7 linked regions of the Sus scrofa genome follow. Each later gene encodes a partner of the first gene's protein in a complex. Links are inferred from orthologs where the notes say so. Each region holds a gene or a part of one and is shown in the gene's direction. Other genes may lie near its edges.

The links.
Region 2: the proteins of GNAS (region 1) and GPR21 are in contact, whole or in part, in a cryo-EM structure (PDB 8HMV), measured with the Homo sapiens proteins. The link is inferred for Sus scrofa from reciprocal best matches to the Homo sapiens genes GNAS and GPR21. Residues at the interface, in NP_000507.1 of Homo sapiens: Gln35, Arg38, His41, Val217, Pro321, Asp323, Arg342, Asp343, Leu346, Arg347, Thr350, Tyr358, Cys359, Pro361, Phe376, Cys379, Arg380, Asp381, Ile383, Gln384, Arg385, His387, Leu388, Gln390, Tyr391, Glu392, Leu393, Leu394; in NP_005285.1 of Homo sapiens: His61, His62, Thr64, Arg127, Ala130, Ile131, Thr132, Pro134, Leu135, Thr136, Tyr137, Asn138, Thr142, Pro143, Ile214, Ile217, Cys218, His221, Thr222, Asp224, Ile225, Arg228, Gln229, Arg231, Phe232, Arg249, Tyr250, Val253, Leu254, Asn308.
Region 3: the proteins of GNAS (region 1) and HRH1 are in contact, whole or in part, in a cryo-EM structure (PDB 9LRB), measured with the Homo sapiens proteins. The link is inferred for Sus scrofa from reciprocal best matches to the Homo sapiens genes GNAS and HRH1. Residues at the interface, in NP_000507.1 of Homo sapiens: Gln35, Arg38, Ala39, His41, Lys216, Val217, Asn218, Phe376, Cys379, Arg380, Asp381, Ile383, Gln384, Arg385, His387, Leu388, Gln390, Tyr391, Glu392, Leu393, Leu394; in NP_000852.1 of Homo sapiens: Asp124, Arg125, Ser128, Val129, Gln130, Pro132, Leu133, Arg134, Leu136, Lys137, Arg139, Thr140, Ile213, Ala216, Val217, Gln219, His220, Cys221, His223, Lys412, Ala413, Gln416, Leu417, Cys471, Asn472.
Region 4: the proteins of GNAS (region 1) and CALCR are in contact, whole or in part, in a cryo-EM structure (PDB 7TYY), measured with the Homo sapiens proteins. The link is inferred for Sus scrofa from reciprocal best matches to the Homo sapiens genes GNAS and CALCR. Residues at the interface, in NP_000507.1 of Homo sapiens: Lys34, Gln35, Arg38, Ala39, His41, Val217, Phe219, Tyr358, Phe376, Cys379, Arg380, Asp381, Ile383, Gln384, Arg385, His387, Leu388, Gln390, Tyr391, Glu392, Leu393, Leu394; in NP_001158210.1 of Homo sapiens: Arg180, His184, Glu240, Tyr243, Leu244, Leu247, Ile248, Val249, Val250, Ala251, Val252, Phe253, Glu255, Lys256, Ile319, Val322, Leu323, Lys326, Met327, Glu329, Thr330, Lys340, Lys343, Ala344, Ile347, Leu348, Leu351, Tyr391, Asn395, Asn396.
Region 5: the proteins of GNAS (region 1) and GPR3 are in contact, whole or in part, in a cryo-EM structure (PDB 9LYB), measured with the Homo sapiens proteins. The link is inferred for Sus scrofa from reciprocal best matches to the Homo sapiens genes GNAS and GPR3. Residues at the interface, in NP_000507.1 of Homo sapiens: Gln35, Arg38, Ala39, His41, Val217, Phe219, Asp323, Asp343, Leu346, Thr350, Tyr358, Cys359, Phe376, Cys379, Arg380, Asp381, Ile383, Gln384, Arg385, Met386, His387, Leu388, Gln390, Tyr391, Glu392, Leu393, Leu394; in NP_005272.1 of Homo sapiens: Met75, Arg134, Ser137, Leu138, Tyr139, Ala141, Leu142, Tyr144, Tyr145, Glu147, Ile216, Ile219, Val220, Arg222, His223, Gln226, Ile227, Leu229, Gln230, Arg231, His232, Lys244, Gly245, Thr248, Arg300.
Region 6: the proteins of GNAS (region 1) and TACR1 are in contact, whole or in part, in a cryo-EM structure (PDB 7RMH), measured with the Homo sapiens proteins. The link is inferred for Sus scrofa from reciprocal best matches to the Homo sapiens genes GNAS and TACR1. Residues at the interface, in NP_000507.1 of Homo sapiens: Arg38, His41, Val217, Phe219, Tyr358, Phe376, Cys379, Arg380, Ile383, Gln384, Arg385, His387, Leu388, Gln390, Tyr391, Glu392, Leu393, Leu394; in NP_001049.1 of Homo sapiens: Met63, Thr67, Asn68, Asp129, Arg130, Ala133, Ile134, Ile135, Pro137, Leu138, Gln139, Pro140, Arg141, Leu223, Gln239, Ala242, Lys243, Val246, Met249, Leu308, Asn309, Phe312.
Region 7: the proteins of GNAS (region 1) and FZD7 are in contact, whole or in part, in a cryo-EM structure (PDB 9EW2), measured with the Homo sapiens proteins. The link is inferred for Sus scrofa from reciprocal best matches to the Homo sapiens genes GNAS and FZD7. Residues at the interface, in NP_000507.1 of Homo sapiens: Asp381, Gln384, Arg385, His387, Leu388, Gln390, Tyr391, Glu392, Leu393, Leu394; in NP_003498.1 of Homo sapiens: Pro285, Ala364, Lys368, Trp369, Gly370, His371, Ile374, Ile450, Ile453, Met454, Asp457, Thr459, Lys463, Leu464, Leu467, Lys552.

What each region holds. Positions count from the first base shown.
Region 1 is NC_010459.5:59,047,368-59,051,241, forward strand, and holds part of GNAS (guanine nucleotide-binding protein G(s) subunit alpha), read left to right. Parts: intron 1-570; coding exon 571-668; intron 669-3,574; coding exon 3,575-3,629; intron 3,630-3,764; coding exon 3,765-3,838; intron 3,839-3,874. UniProt on the Homo sapiens protein: Guanine nucleotide-binding proteins (G proteins) function as transducers in numerous signaling pathways controlled by G protein-coupled receptors (GPCRs).
Region 2 is NC_010443.5:263,952,013-263,956,324, forward strand, and holds the start of GPR21 (probable G-protein coupled receptor 21), read left to right. Parts: upstream 1-1,482; 5' UTR 1,483-1,617; intron 1,618-2,043; 5' UTR 2,044-2,437; coding exon 2,438-3,487; 3' UTR 3,488-4,312. UniProt on the Homo sapiens protein: Orphan receptor.
Region 3 is NC_010455.5:67,406,236-67,410,109, forward strand, and holds part of HRH1 (histamine H1 receptor), read left to right. Parts: intron 1-1,873; coding exon 1,874-3,366; 3' UTR 3,367-3,874. UniProt on the Homo sapiens protein: G-protein-coupled receptor for histamine, a biogenic amine that functions as an immune modulator and a neurotransmitter.
Region 4 is NC_010451.4:73,400,255-73,404,874, reverse strand, and holds the start of CALCR (calcitonin receptor precursor), read left to right. Parts: upstream 1-1,648; 5' UTR 1,649-1,870; intron 1,871-4,620. UniProt on the Homo sapiens protein: G protein-coupled receptor activated by ligand peptides amylin (IAPP), calcitonin (CT/CALCA) and calcitonin gene-related peptide type 1 (CGRP1/CALCA).
Region 5 is NC_010448.4:84,608,572-84,613,000, forward strand, and holds the start of GPR3 (G-protein coupled receptor 3), read left to right. Parts: upstream 1-1,535; 5' UTR 1,536-1,604; intron 1,605-2,626; 5' UTR 2,627-2,631; coding exon 2,632-3,624; 3' UTR 3,625-4,429. UniProt on the Homo sapiens protein: Constitutively active G-protein coupled receptor that maintains high 3'-5'-cyclic adenosine monophosphate (cAMP) levels that a plays a role in serveral processes including meiotic arrest in oocytes or neuronal development via activation of numerous intracellular signaling pathways.
Region 6 is NC_010445.4:68,017,076-68,019,882, forward strand, and holds part of TACR1 (substance-P receptor), read left to right. Parts: intron 1-1,442; coding exon 1,443-1,695; 3' UTR 1,696-2,807. UniProt on the Homo sapiens protein: This is a receptor for the tachykinin neuropeptide substance P. It is probably associated with G proteins that activate a phosphatidylinositol-calcium second messenger system.
Region 7 is NC_010457.5:105,642,713-105,647,093, forward strand, and holds the start of FZD7 (frizzled-7), read left to right. Parts: upstream 1-1,451; 5' UTR 1,452-2,298; coding exon 2,299-4,023; 3' UTR 4,024-4,381. UniProt on the Homo sapiens protein: Receptor for Wnt proteins.

The sequences.
Region 1 (3,874 bases):
CCACCGAGCTGCACACGCTTTTGATCTTTCTCCCTCTGAATTCACACTGGAGAGAGACCTTCTCTTTCCTTGTAAAGGGGAGCGTGCCCCCACGTGATGTGACCTGTGACCTGTGACCTACTGCCGTTGAGAACAACGCAGAGGTCGCTGGCCCTTGGCTTCTTCCTGGCAGACCGTCCCCAGAAGCACAGGGCAGACTGGCCAGCAGCTCCCGACCGTCATAGTTTTGGCCAAAGCTGAGAAAACGTGCCCCACAACCTCATCACAAAGACATGTCCTGTCCCCCCACCCAGAGCCTCCTGACCAGCTCACACCCTCCCGTAGAAGCGACTCTGAAGAAACCCAGTTCCTGGGCGGCCCAGTCCGGCCTCTCCCCCCCAGGCCCCCGACGCACAGGCTGATGACAACCCGGGAGCAGTAATTCTGGACTCGGGGGGGCCCTTGAGCCCGCCGACGTCCTGTAGGAACGCTCCTGCCTAAAGCTGCCTGGACATGGGGACCGGCCCTTGGGGTGGGTCTCCCGGGCGCCCTGCAGCCCCCTCCAACCCCTCTCCCTGGCCCTCCCTGCAGGAGTTCTACGAGCATGCCAAGGCTCTGTGGGAGGACGAGGGCGTGCGCGCCTGCTACGAGCGCTCCAACGAGTACCAGCTCATCGACTGCGCCCAGTAGTAAGTGCCCTCCCCGCCCGAGCCCCGCGGGGCACACCCCACACCTCCACTCCCACCGCCCCAAGGTACTTTCTTAGCAGCCAGCCAGGTAGTCTCACCTGCCTTGAGAAGGTTCTAGTCTGATGCATTTATCTTCTAGGGGCCTTCATGGCACGTTTTAGTGCAGCTACGTTATTTTATATAAACACTTAATGCCTGGCAGAGCAAAGTGATAATCACCTGCCATAAAGCCATGGTCGTCGTTAATTAGCTCAAAGTAATTAATTGAGTTGACCTGCAAGCATTTAGAGAGGTGGGACAGCTCTCACACTTCGGATAATGTGGCAATTTTGTATTGTATTTACCGCAACTGAAAAACGTGCCAAAGAGGAATGGTGAGGACAGACATGTGCTGCCCCCGCCCCAACCTCCCCACCGCCCGTAAGGGACCACAGCAGCTGCCAGGGTTCATCTCGCGTGGGCACCATGTTGGATGCCATTTCTTGTCCTTGTTCCTCATTCAAGGGGCCTCCCCTGCCAAGGGGTCCTTGCCCTGTCCTCCTGTCCCTTCAAGGCTCTCTTGCAGTGGGCCTGATGACGCCCAGCCGGGAGGCTGCCTTTAAGACAGCTTGACCACCTGTCTTACCCTGTGCATCGTGCGGTAGACACATGGCCTTCAGAGCCGTGAAAAATATCTCAAAGAGACCCTCTGTTTGCTCGTGTCGCACACATGTACCAAGCGGTCTCAGGCAACGTGCTCTCAAGTTGGACTGTCTTTTCTGACAATACGATAATCCTGTGTCAGCCCCTCGTGTAAGTAACTGAAACGCCAACAATTTGCTTTGGAAAATGTTCAGTAATCAGGACCCAGGGACGAGGCTGGCTCGCCAAAAGCTAAAATCGTGCATTACCCAGGAGCCCCGCGCCTGAGGAACTTGGGGCCACACAAAGCCAGCTCCCCAGAACCCCGTCATCTGCACAGCACCCGAGCTCCTCTTGGGGTCTGCGAAAGCTGTCCACGTCCCTTCACCGGCCCTGCTTTCCCACAGCAAGGGCACTCGATGCTTTTCACTTGTCACCCCTACAGCTATTTTGTGACTTAACACGCAAGCAAACTTGTATATTTTTTCAAGGAACAGAGAAACAGTCCATCTGGGCCGGTCGCCGTGACCCCCACCCCCACCCCTTCTTCAACAAAGTCCCTGATTTTCTCAAAAGTTTGAGCTTAAAGCTGGAAGTGCTAATTATAGTAACACAAAACACATGGAAATCCTGGAATTGTTTGCCTTTTGTTTTCTGGATCCAAGTCAGAAGCACAGGTACAGGATTAGGCAGCTTTGACCACCCCATTCTTAAGAGCCCTGGGGGGGCGGGGCGGGGTGTAACAACTTCATTAATTCAGTTTAGCCAGCTTTCTTTTTTTTTTTTTTCTTTTTTTTTTAAATCGCACACCATTTCAAAAGTTTTTTTTAAAAGTTTTTCGAAAGCCCTATCCACGCATGCCTGCAACTTTATCTGCAAATGGCAGCATGTGCACAGTTTATGGAAAGTTTTAAGGAAACTCCGAGAAAAAGAGAACAGAGCTTGACCCTTTTAAAATGTCTCCTTCCCCGGCCAGCCGCCTCCAGCAGCCCTGCCTTCTTCGTAGCCCGCCTGTTTCTGGCGTAACTGCCTTTAGGTTACGGCCGAGGTCCTGGGGACGTGCCCGTTCCTTAAGGTGCCTGTTTTTATTTGTTGAGCTGGGCTTTGGCTGGCCCCCCTCCAGATGTCTCTCTCACAAGATTTGGTGCTGATGAGCTATTTATAGACCTGTGGTTCGGTTGCCATGGCAACGTGCTGGAGGCCAGGGCGGCTGGGGAGCTATTTCTGGCCTGGTGCTGTAATGTAAGCCTGATTGGGCAAGTTAGTGTATCCTCGAAGCCAGACTCACTTTAAACTGGTGAAAAGGAAAGGGGGGGGGGCACCACCTTATAGAATTTCTTTAAATTTTTCTCGCTTTGATTTTCTTCTCTGATTAGCTCACTTTCCAACACCTCCCATCCCCCCTTCCCCCCCCCCCAAAAGCTGGTTTCCACATTAACTTTCCATGGTAATTACCTCAGTCCAGTCTTTTAAAAGTTATTTTTCCTAACAGTGTGTCCAGTCGGGCAACCCAAGCAAAGAGCCTCCCGACTCTGGGAGGGAGGAAGCATTCTCACCCCTAGACAGCCTTCTCACCCCTGAGACCCCCAGACCCCGCGCCGCCACGGTGCGCGCCCCCTGCCTGCCTGGGGCCCCAAACCTGGATGGCGGTGAGGTGCTTTGAAAGCTTCCTCTCTGGGCTGGTCTGCTTCACGGACCAAGCAGGACGGAAGGGAACTGGTGTCTGTTTCCTGTTCGGTGCGGTGCGGGCCGAGAGGGCCACTTCCTAAAAGGAGAGATACCCTTTCTGAGTTAATCCAGCAATCTCATCTTCATTCGTCCTTTGGGCGAAAAAAATCCTTGCTTCTTTTAAGCGTGCCCTTTTTTTTTTCTTCATTTTTTCAAAAACTCCCTGACATGGAAGTGTACAGTTTTCAAACGACTTGCCGTTTTAGTCAAAGCCAAACAATCTGAGGGTGTACTGTTTTACTCAGGCATTACCCAATGGCACACAGTCAGGCCTGATTTGGGGCCCTGGGCGGATGGATTTGCACAGAGCGAGTCTTTTCAAATTAAAACCAGATCAGATCCCCCCCCCCCAACTGGCCTGTGCTGTACCTGTAGGCCAGGGGTCCTGATTTATCTTAAATCCTATTTGCGCGAACCTTTGTAAGGCATCCGCTTGACCCTAATGAACTTCATGGGATGGTCGTTTTCGCTTAGCTGGACCTTGTGGCTGGGCAGGAATAGTGGGCAAATTGGCCTGAACGTGTGGTCACCCCCGTGTGTCTTTCTTCTGCTCCCAGCTTCCTGGACAAGATTGACGTCATCAAGCAGGCTGACTACGTGCCCAGCGACCAGGTATGCACCCCTTCTCACAGGGCAGAGGATGCAGAGTCTTCTTTCCAAGCCAGTCAGCATTTTTGCTCCAGGTTGGCAATGATTAACACTTGGGTTGGTTTTGGTGAGACCGCTTAATCTGAGACTTTGTTTTAGGACCTGCTCCGCTGCCGCGTCCTGACTTCTGGAATCTTTGAGACCAAGTTCCAGGTGGACAAAGTCAACTTCCAGTAAGTAAACGGTTCCTTTTTTTTAGAAAGAAAAAT
Region 2 (4,312 bases), on another chromosome or scaffold:
TATTGCCCTTAGAAGATTGGCAGTCCTAGTAAGAGAGGGCACCTTAGGATTCACAAGAACCCACCCTCTAGCACCACAACATGATCTGTGGGAAAGTAGACTATTCAGGAAAGGCTGTTTGAGTAGTATGAGGAAAAAGTAGTTATATTCCCTTAATGTGCGAGGTAATGGCTAATTTTTGGTATACATATTCTGCTTTATTTCTCAATCACCTCATGAAACAGGGCATATGATCCTTATTTTGCAGATGATGAAGCTGAGGCTAAGTAATATTAGAGCAAGGATTTGAGCCAAATGGGTGTTCAGTGCCATGGATCTTTTCGCTGTTCCATCTTTTCCTCTAAGACCTGTCAAGTACTACCAAGCTATCAAGCTTATGCTTAATAGGCTTTTTGAGTTTCTTGCCTTTGGTGTGATACGCACAGTGCTTTAAATCTTAAAATGTAGTTGATTGAATTCTGGTAATGAGTGGCCATTGCCTGCAATGAGAAAGCATGTGTGTGAAACAAAAAATAAAAGTTGGATCATGTAATATAATTAAAAATTGTTATCATTTGACACTTCCCAGTTAGCTGAAAATTATCATCACTTAGACATCATCTGAAGAGCCACAGTATCATCCCAATTTGCCTTGTGTTGAGTAGGCGCAAAGAAGATTGTGTATTTTAAGGTACACAGATTGTACCATGAAACTTCCTCCAGTTTTCAAACCTGGGTGGAAGTGGGTACATTTAATTTGTCCATCTTTTGTTTGTATATTTGTGTACCAGTTCTCAGCAAACTAGAAGCATGTAATGGCATCTGAAAACTATAGGATAGTGTTGAATACAGCAACAGCATAATTCCTCTTTCATCTGTGTGCTATTTCTGCATATTCAGAATGGATGGAATTTATTTTTTTCTTTTGAAAAACGGAATTTTTAGATTTCCTTGTTATTTTGGCCATCTTTCTTAAAATTGATCAGCATTTAGTGAATAATGAGAGAAAATTAATGCCAAATATGTAGCTTTCTACCTAGGACTTCTTGTGCTGAATTATGAGTCCTCAGTTGTCATGAACTGTTAACACATTTTCATTCTTTAACATTGCTCTTTGTTCCCTGAGAAATGCTACAAGGAAATAGGAATTTCCTCTCACCATTACCCCTCTGGCAGTGTGTTTCAATCTAATTCCTGGCTGGCGCTCTGTCCTGGTTACTGTCCCTTCTCCTTACTAAATTCAGTTCATCTGTTAAGAGGGGGATTCCAGACAGACGAGGAAACAGCTTTCAAACATTGCACTGCAGGCATATTAAATTACCCCCCCACCCCCCCACCCCCACCCCCACCCCCACCTCGTGTGATCTGAAAATCGGGGAGCACCTCTCTGGCGATGAATTCTAATGAGCTGCTAAAGATGCCGGAGTGTGCACGCACACAGGCATTTTCTTTCCCCTCCCCCGCCTCTTCCTTTTCCCAAGCCCCTTCTTCTCCCTATTTCCCCTCCTACTCCTTTATCCCCTCCCTCTGTGGCTCAGTTCTGCAGTAAACGGGGCTAAGGCACATTCCTGCTTTGCAAGGCTTTCTGTTAAGGATGTTCTGCGGCTTTTGTTTGGATCGCAGCATGCAGAATTACAGGTAACACTCGGAAATTGAGCTAGGCAATTCAGTGCTGTTGAAATATTTTCTAAGAGGCAAAATATTATATTGGAATGAATGAAGAAAGTAAGTTATATTGGTTAGTATTATTAGTGGTAATTGTAGTAAAGTGTTTTCAGAAATGCTATATGCAGATTTCTTTTTTCCCTTAAAAGGCTCAGTTGAAAGGAGACGGGCTTAGATTGATCTCATTTGCAATTGATTTTGTTTTTATGTTGATCATGAAAGCTTGCTGTCACTGCGCTTCCTCTGTAGAGTAAGGGGTGCTACTGAGGGTAGCTGTGAATAGATGTACCGGGTGTGGCAGGATAGAGTGGGAGGGGTGGTGTCAGCCCGAGCTAGCCAGGTTCTTGATGAGGGCATTGGATGCAAAATGTAAAACACTCTCTCCTTTTCTTCTATCAGCTGTTCAGAGGAGACTCATTACAACTCCTGCTGAAGTCCTAGTCTTCCTCCCTTCTCTTCTGCCCCTACCCCCTACCCTCATTGGCCTGAAGACATTGTAACCAGAGTTTGCCTTACTCCCCCGGTGCTATGTGTATGGTAAACCTGGTACTATGGCCGCATCTGGGACTGGCCAGACAACTGCTGCTGGTTCTCCCTATTCCAAGGAGGATTTAAAAGGGAATTGCACTGCAGGCAATGCATCAGAGCAGCAGCATCGGGAGCTTGGGGACTAAGGCTCCTCGGGCATTATTACAGACACACAGAGCTGGCCGCAATGACAGCAGCTGCTCCATTGAACTGTTGGCAGCAGCCAGGCGGCAGCATGAAGTGAGAGATCACTCCTGAGCTCAAGATGAACTCTACCTTGGATGGTAATCAGAGCAGCCACCCTTTTTGCCTCTTGGCATTTGGCTATTTGGAAACTGTCAATTTTTGCCTTTTGGAAGTATTAATTATTGTCTTTCTAACTGTATTGATTATTTCTGGCAACATCATTGTGATTTTTGTATTTCACTGTGCACCTTTGTTGAACCACCATACTACAAGTTATTTTATCCAGACTATGGCGTATGCTGACCTCTTGGTTGGAATAAGCTGCCTGATCCCTTCTTTATCACTCCTCCACTATCCCCTTCCAGTGGAGGAGTCCTTGGCTTGCCAGGTATTTGGTTTTGTAGTATCAGTTCTGAAGAGTGTCTCCATGGCCTCTCTGGCTTGTATCAGCATCGATAGGTATATTGCCATCACTAAACCTTTGACCTATAATACACTGGTTACACCCTGGAGACTACGCCTGTGCATTTTCCTGATTTGGCTATACTCTACCCTGGTCTTCCTGCCTTCCTTTTTCCACTGGGGCAAACCTGGATATCATGGAGATGTGTTTCAGTGGTGTGCGGAGTCCTGGTATACCAGCCCCTACTTCACCCTGTTCATCGTGATGATGTTATATGCCCCAGCAGCCCTCATTGTGTGCTTCACCTATTTCAACATCTTCCGCATCTGCCAACAGCACACAAAGGAAATCAGCGAAAGGCAAGCCCGCTTCAGCAGCCAGAGTGGGGAGACTGGGGAGGTTCAGGCCTGTCCTGATAAGCGCTATGCCATGGTCCTGTTCCGAATCACTAGTGTATTTTACATCCTCTGGTTGCCATACATCATCTACTTCTTATTGGAGAGCTCCACTGGCCACAGCAACCGCTTCGCATCCTTCTTGACCACCTGGCTTGCTATTAGTAACAGTTTCTGCAACTGTGTCATTTATAGTCTTTCCAACAGCGTATTCCAAAGGGGACTAAAGCGCCTCTCCGGGGCCATGTGTGCTTCTTGTGCAAGTCAGATGATAGCTAAGGACCCTTACACAGTTAGGAGCAAAGGCCCCCTTAATGGATGCCATGTCTGAAGTGGTTCAGATACTGGGTCACCGTGTGTCTTGTATGTGTGTGTGTGTCCTTCTTATCTCTTTGTATTCTGGTTCACTGGGAAATGTGGGACAAAATAATTTGACTCTAAGCATTAGCAAACAAATGATCCATCCAAAATACCTTGGATTTTGCAGAAATGATTTTTTTTAATGCTTTTTAATTCAGGACCATGAAGATAAATTTATCTTGGTTCCAGTTTTTAGAATGTCATGGAAATGACTGTATTTCTTAGACTTAAAATGAATAAAGCCATATCTAACACCTCTCTCCAGCTGGCATGACTGAACCTGGGTGTGAAAAGCGTCAGCATTTTTAAAAGTCATCGTTTTCTTGTCGCTTTTCTGGGTTCTTTCCAGCTGTTTGGGCTTCATGTATAATTTATTTCTTTTAACAGGGAAGATTAAAATACAGTGATGAATTAATAGCATTTAAAAAAATTTTTAATGTATGTCAAAGTATTGCTACACTGAAGGTTTCACACTGTCATTCAGAAAGCCAAATGTTTTATGTCTTAACTCTCTGGAGAGAACGCTCAATACAGTGAGTAACGTAAAAACTTAAACATTGATTTAAAATTTTTGCATTGAACCATGAAGCAGAAGGGCAGTCAAATTATACAGTTTATTAAAAACTAAGCTGTTTTTTGTGCCATGCTTCACTGAGATCTAAAGAAGTGTGTGTATTGAAAGTGACTGTGTTGTATTTTTGCCCATGCCTTTTGTGTATGTGTGTTTTGAGAATATTTGAATTGAATTAGATTTCTCTTTCAGAGCAAAAAAAGTGTTTTAATAAGCTGAAAAATA
Region 3 (3,874 bases), on another chromosome or scaffold:
ATGTTGAGTTGTATAAACTGTGTGTGTAGTCTGGTTATTAACCCCTTATTGATCATATCATTTGCAAATATTTTCTCCCATTCTGTAGGTTGTATTTTCATTTTGTTGGTAGTTTCCTTTGCTGTACAACAGAATAAGTTTAATTAGGTGCCATTTGTTTACTTGGGGTATTGGTTTTTGGTTTTGGTTTTTTTGTTTGTTTGTTTGTTTGTTTGTTTTTGGTCTTTTTAGGCCTCTACCCACAGCATATAAAGATTCCCAGGCTAGGGGTCAAATTGGAGCTGTAGCTGCAGGCCTATGCCACAGCCACAGCTATAGCCACACCAGATCTAAGCCGTGTCTGTGACCTACACTACAGCTCATGGCAATGCCAGGTCCTTAACCTCCTGAGCGAGGCCAGGGATCAAGCCTGCATCTTCATGGATACTAGTTAGATTCATTTCTGCTGAACCATGACAGGAACTCTGGGTCTTGCGTTTTGTCTTTAAAAATCATGTGAATTTAGCCTTCTATTCAATAATTTATCTGGATTCATCTAAATGTAAAAATAATTTGTTTTTGCTAAATTATCAAGAGACAGTTACACACTGTTAGCACTTCCCAGCTTTCTTTAAACTCATACCACTTTTTGATGAATATAAAAATCAAACAATGTCTTCTGAAGGTTTTAATACATACTTTGACTTCCCACTCTAATTGAGGATCATCTATAAGAGATTCCAATCTGTTTTCAGGATAGCCCCACCAGCAAAGATGTTTTTGTTACACATTAGTTTGCATAGTTTGTGTTATGAGAAATTCAAATATAAAAGTAAAATAATAAACATGCTTTCTAAAATAACATGCCTCTCTTCCCATTTGAGAACCATTCATCTGAGGAGATGTGGGAGATTTATTTCATGCTCTGTGTGCCCTAGTAACCTCCCCCATATTGGTTAGGATTGCTTTTATTTTAATTTAATTTAGGTTTATTTCATTTTATTTGCCCAAGCCCCCTGCATGCAGAAATTCCCGGGACATAGATAAAAACCAAGCCATAGCAGTAACAGTGCTGAACCCTTAATCACTAGGTCACTGGGGAACTCCTGGAGTGCTTTTAGATGCAAGTAAAATCCCCACAACAGTGACTTAAACAAAAAAGCATATTTAATTATTTCCCATGATAACCAGCCTGGAAGAAGAAGATTCCAGGGTTGGTTCACTTGCTCTGTAATAATAGGACTATGACTTGGCATCTCAGTGGTTTTCTTGGCTTTTCCCTGGTGACCCAAGATGACTGCTATAGCCCCAGCATCACACCCTGTCCGGAAAAGGGGGCAAGTGGGAAACACCCTTTCACTTCTTTTGCGCATCTGTTAGAGAGGAAGAACTTTGCAACCCCCCCCCTTTCCTTGAGACTTCCTTGGCCACAGTTGTGTCTCAGACCCACTCATAGACCAGCCACTGACAAAGAGGAATGAGGATGCCGTGTGTAGCTTAGACCAGTCATGGTGCAGCCTCTCTCCTAGAACACATGCAACCTGGGACATGTACAAACCTCATTTTGTTTTTGCTTAACTCCCTCAATAGAATGTGAGTTCTTTGAGGGCAGCAATTTTTATTTTGTCCACTGCTCTATCCCCAACCCCAGAATAATGCCCAGGAATATAATAAGTAGTCATGGAAGGAAGGAAGGAAGGGAAGGAGGGAGGGGGGAGGAAGGGGGGGGAAGGAGGGAGGGAGGAAGACCTAAGGAAGTGGGGGATATAGGCTGTAGGTATCTAGCAGCATCTGTTGCTCCTTGACAGCATACACCCCAGTTTGATCACCATGATAGCACTGAGTCTGCTGATCACCAGGGCTCTGACGTGACTCCTCATGTCTTTCTTCCCAGGGAGTGAACAGGAGCTGGAGGCTACTCTTGTGCCAATGACCTTTCCTAATTCCTCCTTTACCTTGGAAGACAATATGTGTGAGGCGAACAAGACCACCATGGCCAACCCTAAACTGATGCCCCTGGTGGTGGTCCTCAGCGCTGTCTCCCTGGTCACGGTGGGACTCAACCTGCTGGTCCTGTGTGCTGTGCGCAGTGAGCGGAAGCTACACACGGTGGGGAACTTGTACATCGTCAGCCTCTCGGTGGCTGATCTGATCGTGGGGGCCATCGTCATGCCCATGAACATCCTCTACCTCCTCATGTCCAGGTGGTCCCTGGGCCGCCCACTCTGTCTCTTTTGGCTTTCCATGGACTACGTGGCCAGCACAGCGTCCATTTTTAGTGTCTTCATCTTGTGCATCGATCGCTACCGCTCTGTCCAGCAGCCCCTCAGGTACCTGAGGTATCGAACCAAGACCCGAGCGTCGGCCACCATCTTGGTGGCCTGGCTTTTCTCCTTCCTGTGGGTCATTCCCATTCTGGGCTGGCATCGCTTTGTATCACGGACCTCAAGGCGCCGGGAGGACAAGTGTGAGACGGACTTCTATGATGTCACCTGGTTCAAAGTCATGACCGCCATCATCAACTTCTACCTGCCCACCCTGCTCATGCTCTGGTTCTATGCCAAGATCTACAAGGCTGTGCGGCGGCACTGTCAACACCGGGAGCTCATCAATGGGTCCCTCCCTTCCTTCTCTGAAATTAAGCTGAAGCCAGAGAACCCCAAGGTGGGGGCTAAGAAAGCAGGGAAGGAGTCTCCCTGGGAGGTTCTGAAAAGGAAGCCGAAAGATGCTGGTGGTGGACCTGTCTTGAAGCCCTCATCCCAAGACTCAGTGGAGATGAAGTCCCCAGGTGTCTCCAGCCAAGAGGATGGAGAACTGGACAAATTCCATTGCTTCACACTTAACATTGTGCAGACGCAGATGGAGGCAGAGGGGAGCAGCAAGGGATATGTAGCCGTCATCCACAGCCAGAGCCAGCTAGAGATGGATGAGCAGGGCCTGAACATGCGTGGGGCCAATGAGATATCAGAGGATCAGACCCTGGGTGACAGCCAGTCCTCTCGGACAGACTCAGACACTCCTACAGAGCCAGTGCCGGGAAAAAGCAAACCGAGAAGTGGGTCTAGCACAGGCTTGGATTATATCAAGTTGACTTGGAAGAGGCTCCGCTCACATTCAAGACAGTATGTGTCTGGGTTGCACATGAACCGAGAAAGGAAGGCCGCCAAACAATTGGGTTTTATCATGGCGGCCTTCATCCTTTGCTGGATTCCTTACTTCATCTTCTTCATGGTCATCGCCTTCTGCAAGAGCTGCTGTAATGAGCATGTGCACATGTTCACCATCTGGCTGGGCTATATCAATTCCACACTGAACCCCCTCATCTACCCCTTGTGCAACGAGAACTTTAAGAAGACATTCAAGAAAATTCTGCACATTCGCTCCTAAGGGGTTTCAACCCAGTGATGTGTATGATGTCCCTGAAGGAAATGGAGGAGGAATGCCTGTGTGTTGCCAGGCACCTGAGCTTTCTGGAGTCAAAAGAATAAGTCACAGGGGCTGCCAAGTAGTTTGGAAAGTTCATGGTTACCACTGGAAAAACAGCAGATGGTGGTGGTCAGCAGAGAGATTGTACTCTGAGAGCAGACTAATTCCAATAGAACTGGAGCTGAATGAACTCTCCTGCTCCTGGGGAAATATGGGAACCTCAGACTCTCCTTGCAAGTCAAGCTTTCAGATTCGAATTAATGGGCCATTGAAGAGCCGTGTGGGTAGAGTTCCACTGGAGAGGTAGACAGAACTCTGGAGCCTTCCTGGAATGGAGCTGTGTGACTATACAGAGACCTTATAACAGACACATGCTGTCCCCTGCCAGGGGTCACCTTGAGAGGCATGACAGCTATTCGACTGTGACTGCCACTTCTCAGAACACCTCTCTTCTGAGCCTCTTTTACAG
Region 4 (4,620 bases), on another chromosome or scaffold:
GGACCCTGTCCCATGAAAGCCCCCAATCACATGATTTAGGTGTCCCTAAAGTCCCCTTAGGGTGAGAAATGGGAGTTCAAAATAGGACAGAAACACACGCACCTTTTGCCTAGTGCAATCTCTCCAGGGCAGGGATCACAGAACGGATGGGTGTAGGTTGCCGTCCCATTCACAGGGCACCTCTGTCGTCTGAGTGCTTAGGAGAAACTCGGACTGCCCCGGAAAGTGTTCTGTGTTGTTGTCTGGCTTTCTTCCCGTCCTATTTGGTTGCTGTTGCCTTTATTTCTTTTGCTGAGTAAACAGTGTTGGTAACCTGGACGGTCCACGACCACCTTGCAGTCTCAGTCTCGGGACACGGCGAGATGTTGCTCTCTTAGCCCAAAGTCCCTTGAACAGAGTTAGGAAAAAAAGTGTCCGCTGCTGCCTTGCTCTATCCAGCGGTGGGCTAAAGGATGTTGAGGGCTGTGCGTCCTTGGAACCAACTTGCCCGCCTTCCAGAGCGCTCCAGCCGGCAGGAGTAGCGCCCTGCCCGGAATCAGATTGTCCCGGGCTCCTCCTGGCATCAATGGCTTTAGTGGGGGAGAGGCACTCGAGACCCCCGTCTTCCTCACCTCCTCACTGTGCTCACTCCCCGTCGTAGGCTACTGTGCCCACCAGCAGCCCCTACATGAAGGGAGCTGTTCCCCTCAATCCAGTCTGCGCCTCCAGCCCCAGACAGCTGCCCAACTCTGAACGCTCTGGCAACACTTTGCGGACCCCCCAGCCCCTCTTCTTACCTCCTGCCTCCCAGCTCCTTCCCTTGCTTTCTCTCGGCACCCCAGTTCCTAGACAAACGTTTTCCCACCCATCTCCATCTCACTTTCACCACCTCGCCCACTGGAGACCCTCTCCACAGGCTCCCAGGTGGTGCTGTCCCCCAAGCAGCGGCTGAAGGAGCCGGGGTGGCACGGTCTCTAGGGGTGGGTTCTTTTGGAAACTCACCTCCCTCCGGAATTTGCGTCCTCTGGGGAGGGGGACAAGGCTCCTAGAAAGCTATCTCCCTGTACACTATGAATCCCCCAGCCCAGACTGTCACCCCCTCCCCAAGGTCTAACTCGGGTCCCTCTCCTGCTTCTCGTGTTTACGCCGCTTTTTACTCTTGGGGTCTCGTGGGGTGAGCCCCCGCGGGGACTCGAGCTAGGCAGCCGTGCGGGTGCAGCCCCACTCGCGGGCCAGGGCGAGAGGGGCTGGCGCGTAGGCGCTCAGAGCTCTCCTGCTCCCCCTCCCTCTCCAGGGACAGGAGCGGGCTGACGGGGGCGGGAGAGTTCGGGGGCGGGGGGGCTGGCGCTCATCAATTCCGCTGCCACCTCCTCTGCTGCCCGGGAGGAGGGAGAGCGGGCAGGGAGGGGCGGGGGAGCGGGCAGGAGAAGACTTAAGTCGGGAGAAGTTTGCGCAGAGCTCACAGCTGGGAAGGAAGGCGCCGGGAAGGTGAGCCTCTTGGACTTTGGGGAGGTGGGAATCAAGCATGGGGATGAAGCCCTTGCCTTTTAGCCTATATACTAGCTGGGGCTAGGTGTAAATGATCACTTAAGGCAGAATTAGAGTGTCAGGAAATCGGGAGAAGGGCAGGAGAGGGAGCGCTCCGGACTAATGTACTTTGCTCTTCACTAGGACGGCCAGCCCCCCAGACCCTGGGAGGGCTGCGCCGCGCCTTTCTCGGACCTTCCTGGGCTGGAGAGGTGCGCGCCGTCCGCACCTCGCCCAGGGGCTGGAATCTCCAATCCAGGAGATGCGCGCTGGAGCCTGAGTTCCTGAGTCTCTGGAGCCACCACCTGCGAATGACCTTCGCTTCCACTGAGCTGTGCCCGGCAGCCCAGTGAGACTGCTCCAGGTAAGGAGGGTCTTGGAATGAGCTGGGCTTTAAGATTTAGGATGTTCTCTAGGGGATGGTTAACAGTGGAGATGCGCCAGATACCTTGTTTTTTTGATGACAAAACTGCACTTTGATTGTGATGTTTCAGGTTCTGATTAGGGTCGACTTAGTCTCAGTCACCTCACCTTAACATTGATTAAAGAAAAGCTCGTTGTCTAGGAAGGTACTAAAACTTAGGGTTTCATATTGACAAATCCTAGGATTTTGTGTGAGTTTTACTTGCCGTTAATATAAATTTTCCTCCAAAAGTTTTATTCTCCTGCTTCCTGGGTATGAAAATTAGACACTGAAAATTGTGGATTTTTTCTAAAAGGTATTTATTAACTCATAAACAGATAATATCGGCATCTATGTGATGTGTCACAGTTGTTCTAGATATTGGAAATGAGTACAGTGGTGAATGGAGTTGCTTCTTAAGTCATGTTTTACAGAGAATTATTTTCCAACAATCATTTATGCATAGCAGCCATTCTTCACACCTATTAGGAAAAATATGTTGTGTGCGTAGTTTCCAAAAGGGTACTCTTTTTTCATGATGCTCTTCCCAAGCCTGGGTGAAAGACATCATGAAAAGCTCTCACAAATTAGTTCTCCTTCCCTAAACATTCATTTTCCTTGAGGTCCAAGGAAATCCAGTCAGAGTCAAAAATCAACAATCCAATTAGATTTTTAACCCATTATTTAGACTTTATTTTGCAGATCTACCTAAGAAAAGCTCTATCTAAAAGCTTTAAGCTGGTATTACATAGTACATTCAAGACTAGAAGGCAGTGTTCCATTGCTGATGTTCAGGAGACCCTAACGGCCGTAGTTAACCTGAACCAAATCATCTGTTCAAGGCTATTTGTCGAAATTGTTGGGTGATTGAAATTGAAATGTTCAAAATAAACCAAAGTGTGACCCTATAGTTTCTGCAACTAATCTGTAAGTAGCAGAGTGTCCAAGTTGGAGTGTGTTTTAAATGATAATAGAAAAGCAAATAGTTGATACTTTGAGGCAACCTTGATGTGCCATCAGAGACAAAGTAGGAATGCATCTAGTGTTGTGGGATTTATCATTTGTAATATCATGTTACTAACCTACTATGTGTCCAGTTAGAACTCAGCTTTAAAAAGTCAGAATTTCTGGGTGTTCCATGCTAGCATTATGAGAGGATCTAGGGTGATTAGATTTGCAAAACATCTTTGCAGTTTAAGTCAGTATTCTCAGTGGGCATTTATTTCTACTCAATATTTTAACATAGCTCAAAACATCCATTGGCCGGGATTTGCTTTGATTTTATGCCTCTATTCTATAGTTAATTTCAGGAACTACAGCCACAAAAGTAATAGTCATTGTAAAATACTCTAAGGTTATTTATTGACCACACCAACATATCAAGTATAGTAAACATGAAATCCTCATTATAACTTATTGACAAGAACACAGAAAACTTACAGTTGTGGTCTAAGTTGATGCTCGGAGTTGAAGAAAACTCTGTTCTTGGTGAACTTCTCAGATTCCTTCAATGTTGAAAGGAATGAAGATATTATCTGCTGTTTTTTATTAGAGTAAAAACAAAATAGAAACAGGAGACGTGGTATTTTCATTGATAACCCAAACCAATGTTCGGGCTGCAAATTAGAACCAATGGGAGAACATTAAAAAAAATATTGGACCCTACCCAAAACTAAGTCAGAATATCTGAGGGACGGGTCTACATTTTTACTTTTTTTTTTTTTTTTTGACGTGATAGAGCTCGTTAATATTGGAGGGTCTTGGAACATAAATGCTGTATGTTCTATTGTCAGTCTAATCTTTTTTATCTTAAAGAAAATATTTATAATTTATTATCCCAATTAGAAGAAAGAGATTTGTTTCCCTTAATGGTAGATGTTTACCGTAACAGTTTCCGGGAAAGAAATTTTTTTTTCTAGAAAACAAGCTATTGAGTTTGAAGCTTATCTGACTGTCCAGAGAATGCTCTAGTGAATTTACTCTAACTTTAAGAGATGTTGGAAACAATGCTTTATGAAACACAGAATTTGGTCTCATTTTGCTAAGACCTATATGATGTGTAATGTGCAAATATATATACCCTTTTGAAAGGAGAGAAGAAAATAGTACCATACTCCTTGGCACACCAAATAACATATCCCGGGTGCTGAATATGTTCTGGTATTTTCACATAAATTATTTCCTTTAAAGCCCACAATAGCTTAGCGAGGTGCCAGCTTCTACTCTGATTTCATATATGAGGAAATTAAGGACCCATTAGGTTAATGAACATGCTTAAAGCTGCAAACCAAGTAAATCTAATGCGTATTTGAACCCTGGTCTTCTTATTCTAAGTTCAATGCTATAATAAAATATATATTTTTATACATATATGTATATACAAATATTTTAAATTTAAAGACAGCATTTTTTTTGCAAAGCAGTATTGATTAAGAGCCACCGATTCTGGCACGGCTCTGCTTGGGTTTCATACCCGACTCCATCACCTTCTAAGAAGTTGTATGATTTTGGACAAATAATCTAACCTCTGTGTGTCTTAATTTCCTTTATAAAAGGGAGTTTTTCTAATGAGTATTAAATTAATATTTGTAAATCATTGGGGTAGATGTCTGGTGCATAGTAGTTTCTATGTAAGTGTTATATTTTTTAAATGTCATCTATTCAAAAAATTTTTGTGATTATTTATAATGTGCCAAGCATTGCATTAAGCC
Region 5 (4,429 bases), on another chromosome or scaffold:
CCACATCCAACCTGAAGTGCAGCCCAGACCGTCTCCTCTCCCCATGTTCCCTGCCACCAGCCCCTCACCTCCTTCCCCTTGCCCCCCACTGACAGTTGGAGCTGCAGGCTTTCTGTGTTGAGGGGGAGAAGTTGCTGGGGCCTGGAATCTGGGCCCCTCTGGTTTCCTCAAGCCCTAACCTAGTCCCTGCCCGCCCCCCACCCCCATCCCACAGGCCTGGCCCGGTTGATTCCCATGAAGATCAAAGCTAGAGACAGAGGGAGGAGAAGCAGCCAGTTCCCCTCCCCCAGAACTGGCTGTATCTGTCACATCTGAAGAAGTCAGCTGAAAGGTGCCCTGGGAACCGGCAAGGTTGGGGAAGAGGGAGCTCCTTTTCCACGTCCAGCCCTGCCAGGGTGCCCAAGATGGGAGGTTGAGAGGTGCCTGCCCTGGGGACTGAGCTGCCAGGTTTTCTGCTTCCAAGTTCTTCCCGGCTCCCCCACTCCTGCTGCTTCGGGGAAGTGCCCCCACCACTGCTACCCTGCTGGCTTTCCAGATCCTTGAATAAATAATTCAGGTTTTGAAATCTTGCCAGGCCCACCCCTCCTGTGCTCTGAGGGCGCTATTGGGCTGACATGATTGACGTCAGCCAGCTCCTTATGCCAGGCCCAGCATCACGAGGGCCTGCCCTGGCAGCAACTTACCTGCCTGGTCACTGTCAGTCCAGATCCTCTACCCTGTCCCATTCACTCTGGGGCCCACTCACCACCGGCACCTGGTATCTTCATTCCAGGACCCTACAACCTTCATCACAGCCTTGTCGCTTAAGCACTTGGAAAAGGGTCACAGTGACCTGAAGTCCTGTCACCTGATAATCCCTCTTCTCTTTCCCCTGCCTCTGCCTCTGCCACCCTGGGAGCCCTGTACCCCATCATGCCACAGAGTCACCCTGACATGGCTCTGGTTGCCTTGGGAGCTTCCCGCTTTACCTCATCATCACCCAAGATCCTGTCACCATGCTCTTACCGTCACTGCCACCCACCTCCTTGCTCCCCGTGCTCCTGTCACTGTCACCTCAGGGCCCTATCATCTTGGCAACCCTGCGTCATCTTCACCTGGGACGCCGGTTCAGCCTCATCACTTGATCCCCGTCACCTGAATTCCGTCCGCCTGTCTCTACCACCCGAGGGTCCCATCACCCGGCAGCCTATCCAGGTACCCCTTCCACTTCCCTTACACATCCCCCGCAGCCTCCCTGGGATTTCAAGGCTCTCCAACCAGCGCCCCGAAACCCCCGGCGGTAGAGGGCGTCACGTCAAGGACAGCCCAGGCCGACTCAGGAGGGGGCGGGGCCGCGGCCACGGTCGCTTTTTATGAATGGGGGAGCGGGAGGCACGAGGCCTCATTACTATGCTTAGCGGCGCGCGTTGCGCCCCAGCGCAAAGCACCCATTGGCCAGTGATGTCGCTGACGTCACCGAACCGGTGGCCGGGGGCGGGGCGGGGCGGGGTGACTCACGCCGCTTCTCCCGCGGCCGCGGGGGCTTCTCGGGGTCCACGCACACCCTGCGCAGCCCGGACCCAAGCGGAGCCTCCCCGCGGCCCGGCCGCGCCCGGTCCCGAGAGGTGAGTAGCGGGCCCCGCCGCGGCCACCAGGCTGCCGGGAGGGCACACAAGATGCAGGGGCGCTGGGGAGGCGGTAAGGCTCCCAGCAGTTGACCGGGGTCGGAGTTCGAGTCTGGGAACGCAGAGTCTGGGCTACCAGGAGGGGACCCAGTGTCTGGGTGCTGAGAGCCGTCCATTGGGTGACCTGACGAGAGGTGAGCACTCCTGCAAGGACCTGAGGCCCTGAAGGGACTGATGGTCATTTGAGGTTGGGCGGGCAGGAGGCGTCTGGGGCAAAGACCCAGGCGTCCGAGCAGGAAAAGGTGTCCGACTTAGGGATCCAGACATCCGGGCAGGAGGCGGAGTCAGGCCAAAAATCCAGGTGTCAGGGCAGGAGGGATCTGACTCAGGGATCCAGGCTTCCAGCAGCGGGTGACTGTTCCAAAGACTCGGAGGCTCAGGCAGAAAGAGGGGTCTAGCTGGGGACAGAAGTCTGGGCGGCTGTGTGTTGGGGGGCTGACTTCCCAGGTGTTTGTTACCCCAGGAGTGCAGGGTGGGGGCTGGCGGGAGTTCACGAGCATTTTCTGGGGGCGGAGTCTGGGGTTGGCTCAAAGGAGAATCGTGAGGGGTCTGAGCCTCCGAAAGGGAGCGTCATCCTCTCTAGTGGGGAGGGAGGAGAGCTGCCCTCAGTCTTGAGCTGTTTTTCCCTCCCCCAGCTCTGGGCCTTTCCCGGCTTCTCCTGGATCCTACCACTTAGTAGTCCTTCATCTTGTCCTCCTCTGGTTACACACGTGGGAAAAAGAGGCCTGCAGGACTCTGGGGAGTTGGAAGGGAAAGTGAAGGGACTCAGGACAGGGATCTTCAGGAAAAGAGACCCCTGCTCTCCTGGGGGCGTGGGAGAGGCCAAAGTGCTCCAGGGCATGAGTGGGGGGGACAAGTCATTGGGACCCGCCAGGTCTCCCGAGGAGAGGCTCCTGCTTTTTCCAGACCCCTCCACACAGCACCCAGCCCTACCAGCGTCTCACAGGGCCTTTCTCCTGCAGGTACCATGATGTGGGGTGCAGGCAGCCCCCTAGCCTGGCTCTCTGCTGGCCCGGGCAACGTGAACATGAGCAGCATCGGCTCAACAGAGGGCCCCACAGACCCAGACGCACCACTGCCCTCACCTAGGGCCTGGGATGTAGTGCTGTGCATCTCAGGCACCCTTGTGTCCTGTGAGAATGCGCTGGTGGTGGCCATCATCGTGGGCACTCCCGCCTTCCGTGCCCCCATGTTCCTGCTGGTGGGCAGCCTGGCTGTGGCAGACCTGCTGGCAGGCCTGGGCCTGGTCATGCACTTTGCTGCTGTCTTCTGCATTGGCTCGGCCGAGATGAGCCTGGTGCTGGTTGGCCTGATGGCGATGGCCTTTACTGCCAGCATCGGCAGCCTACTGGCCATCACTGTTGATCGCTATCTTTCCCTGTACAATGCCCTCACCTACTACTCAGAGACCACAGTGACTCGGACCTATGTGATGCTGGCCCTAGTGTGGGGGGGCGCGCTGGGCCTGGGGCTGCTGCCTGTGCTGGCCTGGAACTGCCTGGATGCCCCGGCCACGTGTGGTGTGGTATATCCACTCTCCAAGAACCATCTGGTGGTCCTGGCCGTTGCCTTCTTCATGGTGTTTGGCATCATGCTGCAGCTCTACGCCCAGATCTGTCGCATCGTCTGCCGCCATGCCCAGCAGATTGCCCTCCAGCGGCACCTGCTGCCTGCCTCCCACTACGTGGCCACCCGAAAGGGCATCGCCACCCTGGCCGTGGTGCTTGGCGCCTTTGCCGCCTGCTGGCTGCCCTTCACCGTCTACTGCCTATTGGGTGATGCCCAGTCCCCGCCCCTCTACACTTATCTCACCCTGCTCCCTGCTACCTACAACTCCATGATCAACCCCATTATCTACGCCTTCCGCAACCAGGACGTGCAGAAGGTGCTGTGGGCTGTCTGCTGCTGCTGTTCCTCTTCCAAGATTCCCTTCCGATCCCGTTCTCCCAGTGACGTCTAGTTGCATCCTGGCGACCCTTCAGTCCTGATCATTACAGAATTACAGAATGTTAGGTCCTCCGGGGCTTTGTTGCAAATCCCCAGCTCCACACCCCAAGACCCAGCTGGTTCTGGAGTTCTAGGACGTTGGGTGTTTCACAGGATTCTGTTCAGATCCCTGCAGGGCCCAGCCAGCTCCATGGTTCTAGCATGTTCAGGGGATCAGGGTTCCACTCAGAAATGTCCCACAGCCCAGCTAGCTGGGAGTTCCAGTATGCTGCTGGGTGTTTTACAGTGCCATTCCAAGTCCCTGATCTTCTGCCTCCCTTGACCTTGACCATGTCACTTTTGAGTTTCTGATCTAAAGAGTCAGAGAGGTTTGTTCCTCCGTTGCCTAGATAAGAGAAAGCTATATCTGTATATATGTGCACATACGAAGAGAGTATCTATTATTTATTTATTTATGAATTTATTTATGGGTGTTAAGGGGAAAAAGAGGCCCACACCTTGAAATCCAGGCCATACTAGGGTACTCCCAGTCCCCAACACTCCCATTTCTGACCTCAGTTCCTAGACAGGGAAAAGGGAAAGAGAAACCACGTATTTTGTTATTATTTTTGCTTATTTTTTATCGAAGAGATCATAGAAGCCAGAGCCTTCTCCCCCGGCCCGCCCCCCTAGGGTTGGAAGGGGGAACACACCAGCCTCTGGTTTTTTATTTTTTTAAGAAGCCATCACCTTAGAAACCGAGAATTCCTCTGCGCTGGGGGCCGGCTGTCCTCTGGTGGCCGTTTGGGGGAATTGCAGCCTGGCCCAGCCGCCGGAAC
Region 6 (2,807 bases), on another chromosome or scaffold:
CAAAGCCAGCTGTAAAGGTAAATGGGAGTGGTAGGGACTACAGAAAACTAATGATCATGCTGTTCAATCTCTGCCGATTAACACCATGCAAGAACATGAGCCCCAAGGAGCTATTTTTTCCTTTTTCCAGAGGAACCATAAATTCATATTTTGTGTGAAATCTTCTGACTTTTAAACACTGGTTACAAAGTCAGTTTTGGAGGGTGGAGGGGCAGGGGCAGATTGAAAACATTTGTCATTGATGCATATAAAGCATGTTGCAAGACTGATCAAGGTCATGAATTTTTTCAGTCTACGCTATGGATCCCATGCACACAGGGTTTGTGCATACAGACAGAGAGTCAGCGAGTGAATGAGGAGTGAGAATCCTAGACTGAGAGAGAGAGAGAAGGGGATGCCACTAATATTACCCACCATAGGGCATCTTTTTCCTTCTCTGATCTCTCATTTTCCTCTTCCCATCCCATAATACAATCTGGACCACTTTTCCCGGTTTCTTCTACCACTTCCAGCAGGACAGGGTAAGCAAAAAGAAGTCATGGCCTTAAAGGCCTGTTCTGCCTTTTCTTGGCCACAAGGGTCAAGAGAGACTTTGGTGTAGATGACAATCTCAGACAAGTAAGAGAAGGGAGAGTCCATCAGGAGTGGTGGTCCACAGGAAAGAATTCCCCATAGTGTGCAGAGACCCCAAGAGGGACTGGGATACCCCGGTGGCAGCTCAGTCATCCAGAGCACACCCCCCACCCCAGCCTCTGTGTGGAAAAGGAGGCAAGAGAGAGAGGGGGAGGGATAAAATACTTGTCACATTTATAGCCAGCAGTTACCAGCCTATAAGGTACCCTCTGTGAGTGAGACACTCAGGTGCTATAAATCTGGGGAGAGATATTCTCTGGGACTTTTCCAAATGATCTTTGAAAGTCTAATTCACAGATTAGTCTTTCTTCTGAGAGCCTCACAACCTGCCTAAACATTTCTAGGTTAAATCTCCCAGCATGTTTTTAAGTAAAAGCTGATTCTTCCTATTTAAAAAACATGGAAACAGGCACTCTGAAGGGACATGATTGACAGAAAGTCAGTGGGCTATTTGAAGGAGAGGACTGAGTCTTGACTCAGTATTGTGCATATGGTAACTACTTAGTGAATGTTTTTGTTTATCCAAAATCACCTGACCTTAAACCAGTGGAGGTAGCATATTTCAACAGCTGCTCTCAGTATGGACATGCACTTCATGTGAACCTAAGTTCTAGTCCCAGAGTTGACCTTGATGATGACCTTTAAGGGTTTTTGTCCTTAGCATCTCCAGCTGTCAATTAATTAAAAAAATAATAACAACACAGGGTCACATTTGGATACGTCCAGTATTAAGGGGCTAACGCAATGGTGGGAAAGAGGCTATAGCCAAGGGTTACCAAGGGTTACCTCTCCATCCACTCTCTCTCCAGGTTTCGTCTGGGCTTCAAGCATGCCTTTCGGTGTTGTCCTTTCATCAGTGCTGGTGATTATGAGGGGCTCGAAATGAAATCCACTCGGTACCTCCAGACCCAGGGCAGTGTGTATAAAGTCAGCCGCCTGGAGACCACTGTCTCCACCGTGGTGGGGGCCCATGAGGAAGAGCTGGAGGAAGGCCCAAAAGCCATGCCCTTATCCCGGACCGGACCTCCAACGGCTCTTCTCGCAGCGACTCCAAGACTATGACAGAGAGCTTCAGCTTCTACTCCAACATGCTCTCCTAAACCACAGGGCCTTTGGTAGACACGGCCACCATGCTTTATCTTGTTTCATTTCATGCATGGATAAGTACGCTATATAGAAACCATAAGCAACATCCTTGAGACTTGTGAAAGGATCAGAATCATTTAGGGAAAATATTCCATCCTTGAGTAAAAAACCTGAATTCTTCCATGTCTTTGACCCCCATACGCTGTATGACCTAAAGCAAATCATCCAGCTTCTCTGAGCCTGTAAAATGGGAAGGTTAGACTTGATTTTCTCTGCAATTCATTCCATGATCCTGGAATTAACTTTAATCGCATGTAGGTGCTCATTTCAGGGTGACTCCTGCAGTGCAGATCCAATGGATCTGCCTACCCGGAGCCTCCCTCTTACTTCAATAAAGCTGATCTCAGTCTTGCTTAGATTATTTCCCTTTAGCTGGTGGCTCACACTGCATCAGCCTTTGCTTGATAAGATGAACAAAAGGAGGAACCACAGAAAATCTGAATGAAAGATTTCACCCTGTCTTCTAAGCATCCATGAAAAGAAGGCATACTTCTGCCCCCTTTTGGCATTTCAGTATCTCAGTGCATCATGGGATTGAGAGCCTCAAGTTCAACTACACTGTGTCCCCAGTAACTCTCCTGAGCAATCAGTGCAAGTGGAACATGTCCACTGATACCAACTAATGTCTGTTTTGGACCAAGACTCAGGAGAACAGTGCCATACTTTATCTGATCCTCTCTTATTTGTAAAGCTATGAGGCTGAGTATGTCATCTAGGTGTCCCTTCAAATTTTGACATTCAAGTTTCAATGATCCTATGAATTTTTGGTTTGTTTCACCAAAAATTGGTAGTCTCAGAAAGAATAGGAGCAGCAAGTCTAGCGACTTAACATCCAGCTCCTAGAGATGTAGGAACTGCTAAGACCATGTATCAATATCCACATACAACATACTCTGATTTATCCCAAACTCTTGAGCACTTTCCTTCTTCTGGAAGATTGGCCTTTGCCAGAGCAGAGGACTTGGTGTCAAATCTTACTCTCTCCATCAGGCTTTTGCAGGCCGAGTCTCGCAGCTGGAGAATACCAT
Region 7 (4,381 bases), on another chromosome or scaffold:
GGCAGCAGAAGCAGCAAAAGCAGCAACTTTTGCAAACATGCATCCCAATCAGAAATCCCTCAGGGCTCCAGCGCCTGGAACTGAGCTGACAGAAGGAAAGGGCTCCGCCAGGAGTAACGTTTTCTAAGGCGTAAGATTGCTTTGTGCGTGAGTGTGTGAGAGAGAGAGGGAGACAGAGAGGGAGAAGCAGATTTTTCCTTTCTCAACATTGTCATTTTCCTGCATGGGAATTCAGGATATTCCTCGCTGTCCAGCGAGAAGGGAGAGCGGCCCCCCTCCCTCCTAACTTCTGATCTCGTCGGGAGTAAGCAGGGCGCGCGCGCGAGCGCCCATTGCCTTCAGCAGGGCGAAGATTTGACCGGGAACAAAAGAACGCTTGCCAATCGGAAAACGCTACCCGAAAACAGGATAACTTCTCTTTGTGTTTTGAAAACTAATTAGCAAATGCCCTTGGTTTCTAATACCCATTTAAACTTTTCAACGCATATTCCAAGGATCAAATCATTGCTTCTGCGACAAAGATGGGATCCCAACACGCCGCAGAACTAAGAAAAAGAGGATAAATACTCTCTCTAAACCGTACAGTGTTCCTGGGCACTCGGGTCGCAGGTTTTTTGTTTTTAATAGCCATTTCCCCCAACACTGTTTTCTTATGGCTCCATTAAAGCTATACCAGATCGCTAGACCCTGGGCCGTGCTCGCGGGCAGGGTGACTTGGGGTCGGGGTCCCCAGCGCCCGCGGCTCCCCAACCCTCTCCCCTCCAAGGGGTCTGCACTTCCTCCCGCCTTACGTCGGCCCCTTCGCCCGACTCCAATTTCTTCGCGGTCGCGGCCCCTCCTCCTTTTTACAACTGGGAGCGGGGATGAGAGGGGATTGTGGCCTCACGTGGTCTGTTAGAGTCGGGGGAGAGAAAAGCAATCCGCGATGCGCACCCTTTTCTGGCCCCATAGTGAACCCTTCATTTAGGACCCCGCTACCCAAAAGTCCCCCGCCAAGCCCAGCATTTTCAGCTCGGGGAGGGCTAACGTGACTCCGAGTCACGTCCCTATCTGCCGTGGCGCTGCTCTATTCTCAGCTTCTCCCCGTAAACTTCCCCCGTGCGCCCTTCTATTCAGGAATGTGTATTTTAGAGTACCCGGAAGAGGAACAAATCTTTCAAGCAAATTCCCTTTCTGGTGCGTTCCCCCCTCCGCTCCCCCCAGCGAATTCACGGTAAAAGTTTTTCTTAACTTTTCCCTCCCAGCCCCCGCCCCTCCCCTCAGGAATCCGCCCAGAGCGCTGCAGACTGTGCCTCTCGGGTTCCCTCGCCCGCCCCTTCCGACTTCCACCCAATCCGGAGGCGACCACACAGAAAACAAAGGCTGCCATTGGGCGGTCTTGGAGCTCCAGGGCCCGCCCCCGGAGTGGTTTGTGAATGGGGGGAGGGGAGAGGGCGGGGCGGCCCGGAATCCTGCGAGCGCGACGCTTCTTCTGCGGAGTTGCTGGGCTCCGAGACGTTACTCTGCGCTCCCTCCCGGCGGGCGGCGGCGGCGGCGGGCGCCGCGACTCACCGGCCGGGGCTGCGCGGGACTGGAGAGGCCAGGCCCAGGCCGCGAGCACGGGGGCCTCATAGCTTTGGACGCAGTGTGACTGGATTTCTTCAAAGAACTCGCAGAGCTCTTGGCTCCAAGACGCCGATAGGACTCAGAACGAGAATCAACCGTTTGGCTGAAACTTGGGGACAAGCTTTTGGGGCTGAAAAAGGAGCAGGGAGTGGAGAAGAAGGCGGCGGAGAAGGAGGTGGCGGCGAACTGAGCCTCGAGGCAAGGAGGCGGAGCAGCACCGCAGAGGCGGCGGCCTTGGCTAGCAAGCCGCGGCGCCGGGCTCTCGCTCGCCGGGGGCCCAGACGCAAGCGGGGGGCGCGCGCGTTACTGTGCGCTGTGAGTCAAGAGACTTGGGCAAACTTTGAAGGGTAACCGGAGACGCTTGTTGCTCTTCGCCGCAGAAAGAGCCGCACCGTTACGTCCCGGCGCGAGGAAAAGGCGTCTCCCCCCCATCGGCGCCCCCGGCCCAGGCAGACGTGTTTGGGCCCCCGGCGGCTGCGCGAGTGCTGGGCGGAGGCGGCGGCGGCGACGGCGCCCTTGCGGCGCGAGCACCCTAGCTACAGCGCCCTCGGCTCCGCACCGCCCACGGCCCGGCCCCGGCGCCGGGAGGACTCTCATGCGCCCGGCGCGGCGGCGCCTGCCGGGATCCCAGCCTCTCCTGGCTGTCTTGTCGCGTTTCTTGGGCTGAGAGCGCCGCTGCACCCGCGGCCGGCGATGCGGGGCCCCCGCACGGCAGCGTCGCCCTCGCCTCTGGGCCTGTGCACCATGGTGCTTGCAGTGCTGGGCGCACTGCCCGCGGGCGCCGGGGCGCAGCCGTACCACGGCGAGAAGGGCATCTCAGTGCCGGACCACGGCTTCTGCCAGCCTATTTCCATCCCTCTGTGCACGGACATCGCCTACAACCAGACCATCCTGCCCAACCTGCTGGGTCACACGAACCAAGAAGATGCGGGCCTCGAGGTGCACCAGTTCTACCCGCTGGTGAAGGTGCAGTGTTCTCCCGAGCTGCGCTTCTTCCTGTGCTCCATGTACGCACCCGTGTGCACCGTGCTCGATAAGGCCATCCCGCCGTGCCGTTCTCTGTGCGAGCGTGCCCGCCAGGGGTGTGAGGCGCTCATGAACAAGTTCGGCTTCCAATGGCCCGAGCGGCTGCGTTGCGAGAACTTCCCTGTGCACGGCGCCGGCGAGATCTGCGTGGGCCAGAACACGTCCGACGGCTCCGGGGGCCCAGGCGGCGGGCCCACCGCCTATCCTACAGCGCCCTACATGCCCGACCTGCCCTTCACCGCGCTGCCCCCGGGAGCCGCTGACGGCAGGGGCCGCTCGGCCTTCCCCTTCTCGTGCCCCCGCCAGCTCAAGGTGCCCCCCTACCTGGGCTACCGCTTCCTGGGCGAGCGCGACTGCGGCGCCCCCTGCGAGCCGGGCCGCGCCAACGGCCTCATGTACTTTAAGGAGGAGGAGAGGCGCTTCGCCCGCCTCTGGGTGGGCGTGTGGTCAGTGCTGTGCTGCGCCTCGACGCTCTTCACGGTGCTCACCTACCTAGTGGACATGCGGCGCTTCAGCTACCCGGAGCGGCCCATCATCTTCCTGTCGGGCTGCTACTTCATGGTGGCCGTGGCGCACGTGGCCGGCTTCCTGCTGGAGGACCGCGCCGTGTGCGTGGAGCGCTTCTCAGAAGACGGCTACCGCACGGTGGCGCAGGGCACCAAGAAGGAGGGCTGCACCATCCTCTTCATGGTGCTCTACTTCTTCGGCATGGCCAGTTCCATCTGGTGGGTCATCTTGTCGCTCACTTGGTTCCTGGCCGCTGGCATGAAGTGGGGCCACGAGGCCATCGAGGCCAACTCTCAGTACTTCCACCTGGCTGCGTGGGCGGTGCCCGCTGTCAAGACCATCACCATCCTGGCCATGGGCCAGGTGGACGGGGACCTGCTCAGCGGGGTTTGCTACGTGGGCCTGTCCAGCGTGGACGCGCTGCGGGGCTTCGTGCTGGCGCCCCTGTTCGTCTACCTCTTCATCGGCACGTCCTTCCTGCTGGCCGGCTTCGTGTCGCTTTTCCGCATCCGCACCATCATGAAGCACGACGGCACCAAAACGGAGAAGCTGGAGAAGCTCATGGTGCGCATTGGCGTCTTCAGCGTGCTCTACACCGTGCCCGCCACCATCGTCCTGGCCTGTTACTTCTACGAGCAGGCCTTCCGCGAACACTGGGAGCGCACCTGGCTCCTGCAGACGTGCAAGAGCTACGCGGTTCCCTGCCCGCCCGGCCACTTCCCGCCCATGAGCCCTGACTTCACCGTCTTCATGATCAAATACCTGATGACCATGATCGTAGGCATCACCACGGGCTTCTGGATCTGGTCCGGCAAGACCCTGCAGTCGTGGCGCCGCTTCTACCACAGACTCAGCCACAGCAGCAAGGGGGAGACGGCGGTATGAGCCCCAGCCCCTCCCCCACCCTTCCTTCTCCCACCCCCACCCCCCTCGCAGGGGGAAAGGCGCGGTAGGGACAGAATTGCCGGGTGGGGGGCTTGTTTCTGTAACCTCCCTCCCCTCCAGTGAGAAGTGACCTGGAAGAGAGACGATAACGTGTAGATTTGGGACGAGGCGTGGGTTTGGAAAGGAGGCCTGAGTGGAAAGGCGGTTTGGATGAAAAGACTTGTGGCCGAGACTCCAGGGTGATGATGATGATGGTGATGATGATAACAACGCTGTAAATCCTGAACGGTCCAGGCCGACCCGGGCCAGTGGAGAGGATTGAGATCCGATGGTTGCTCTGAGTTCTTCCGGCTCTGGG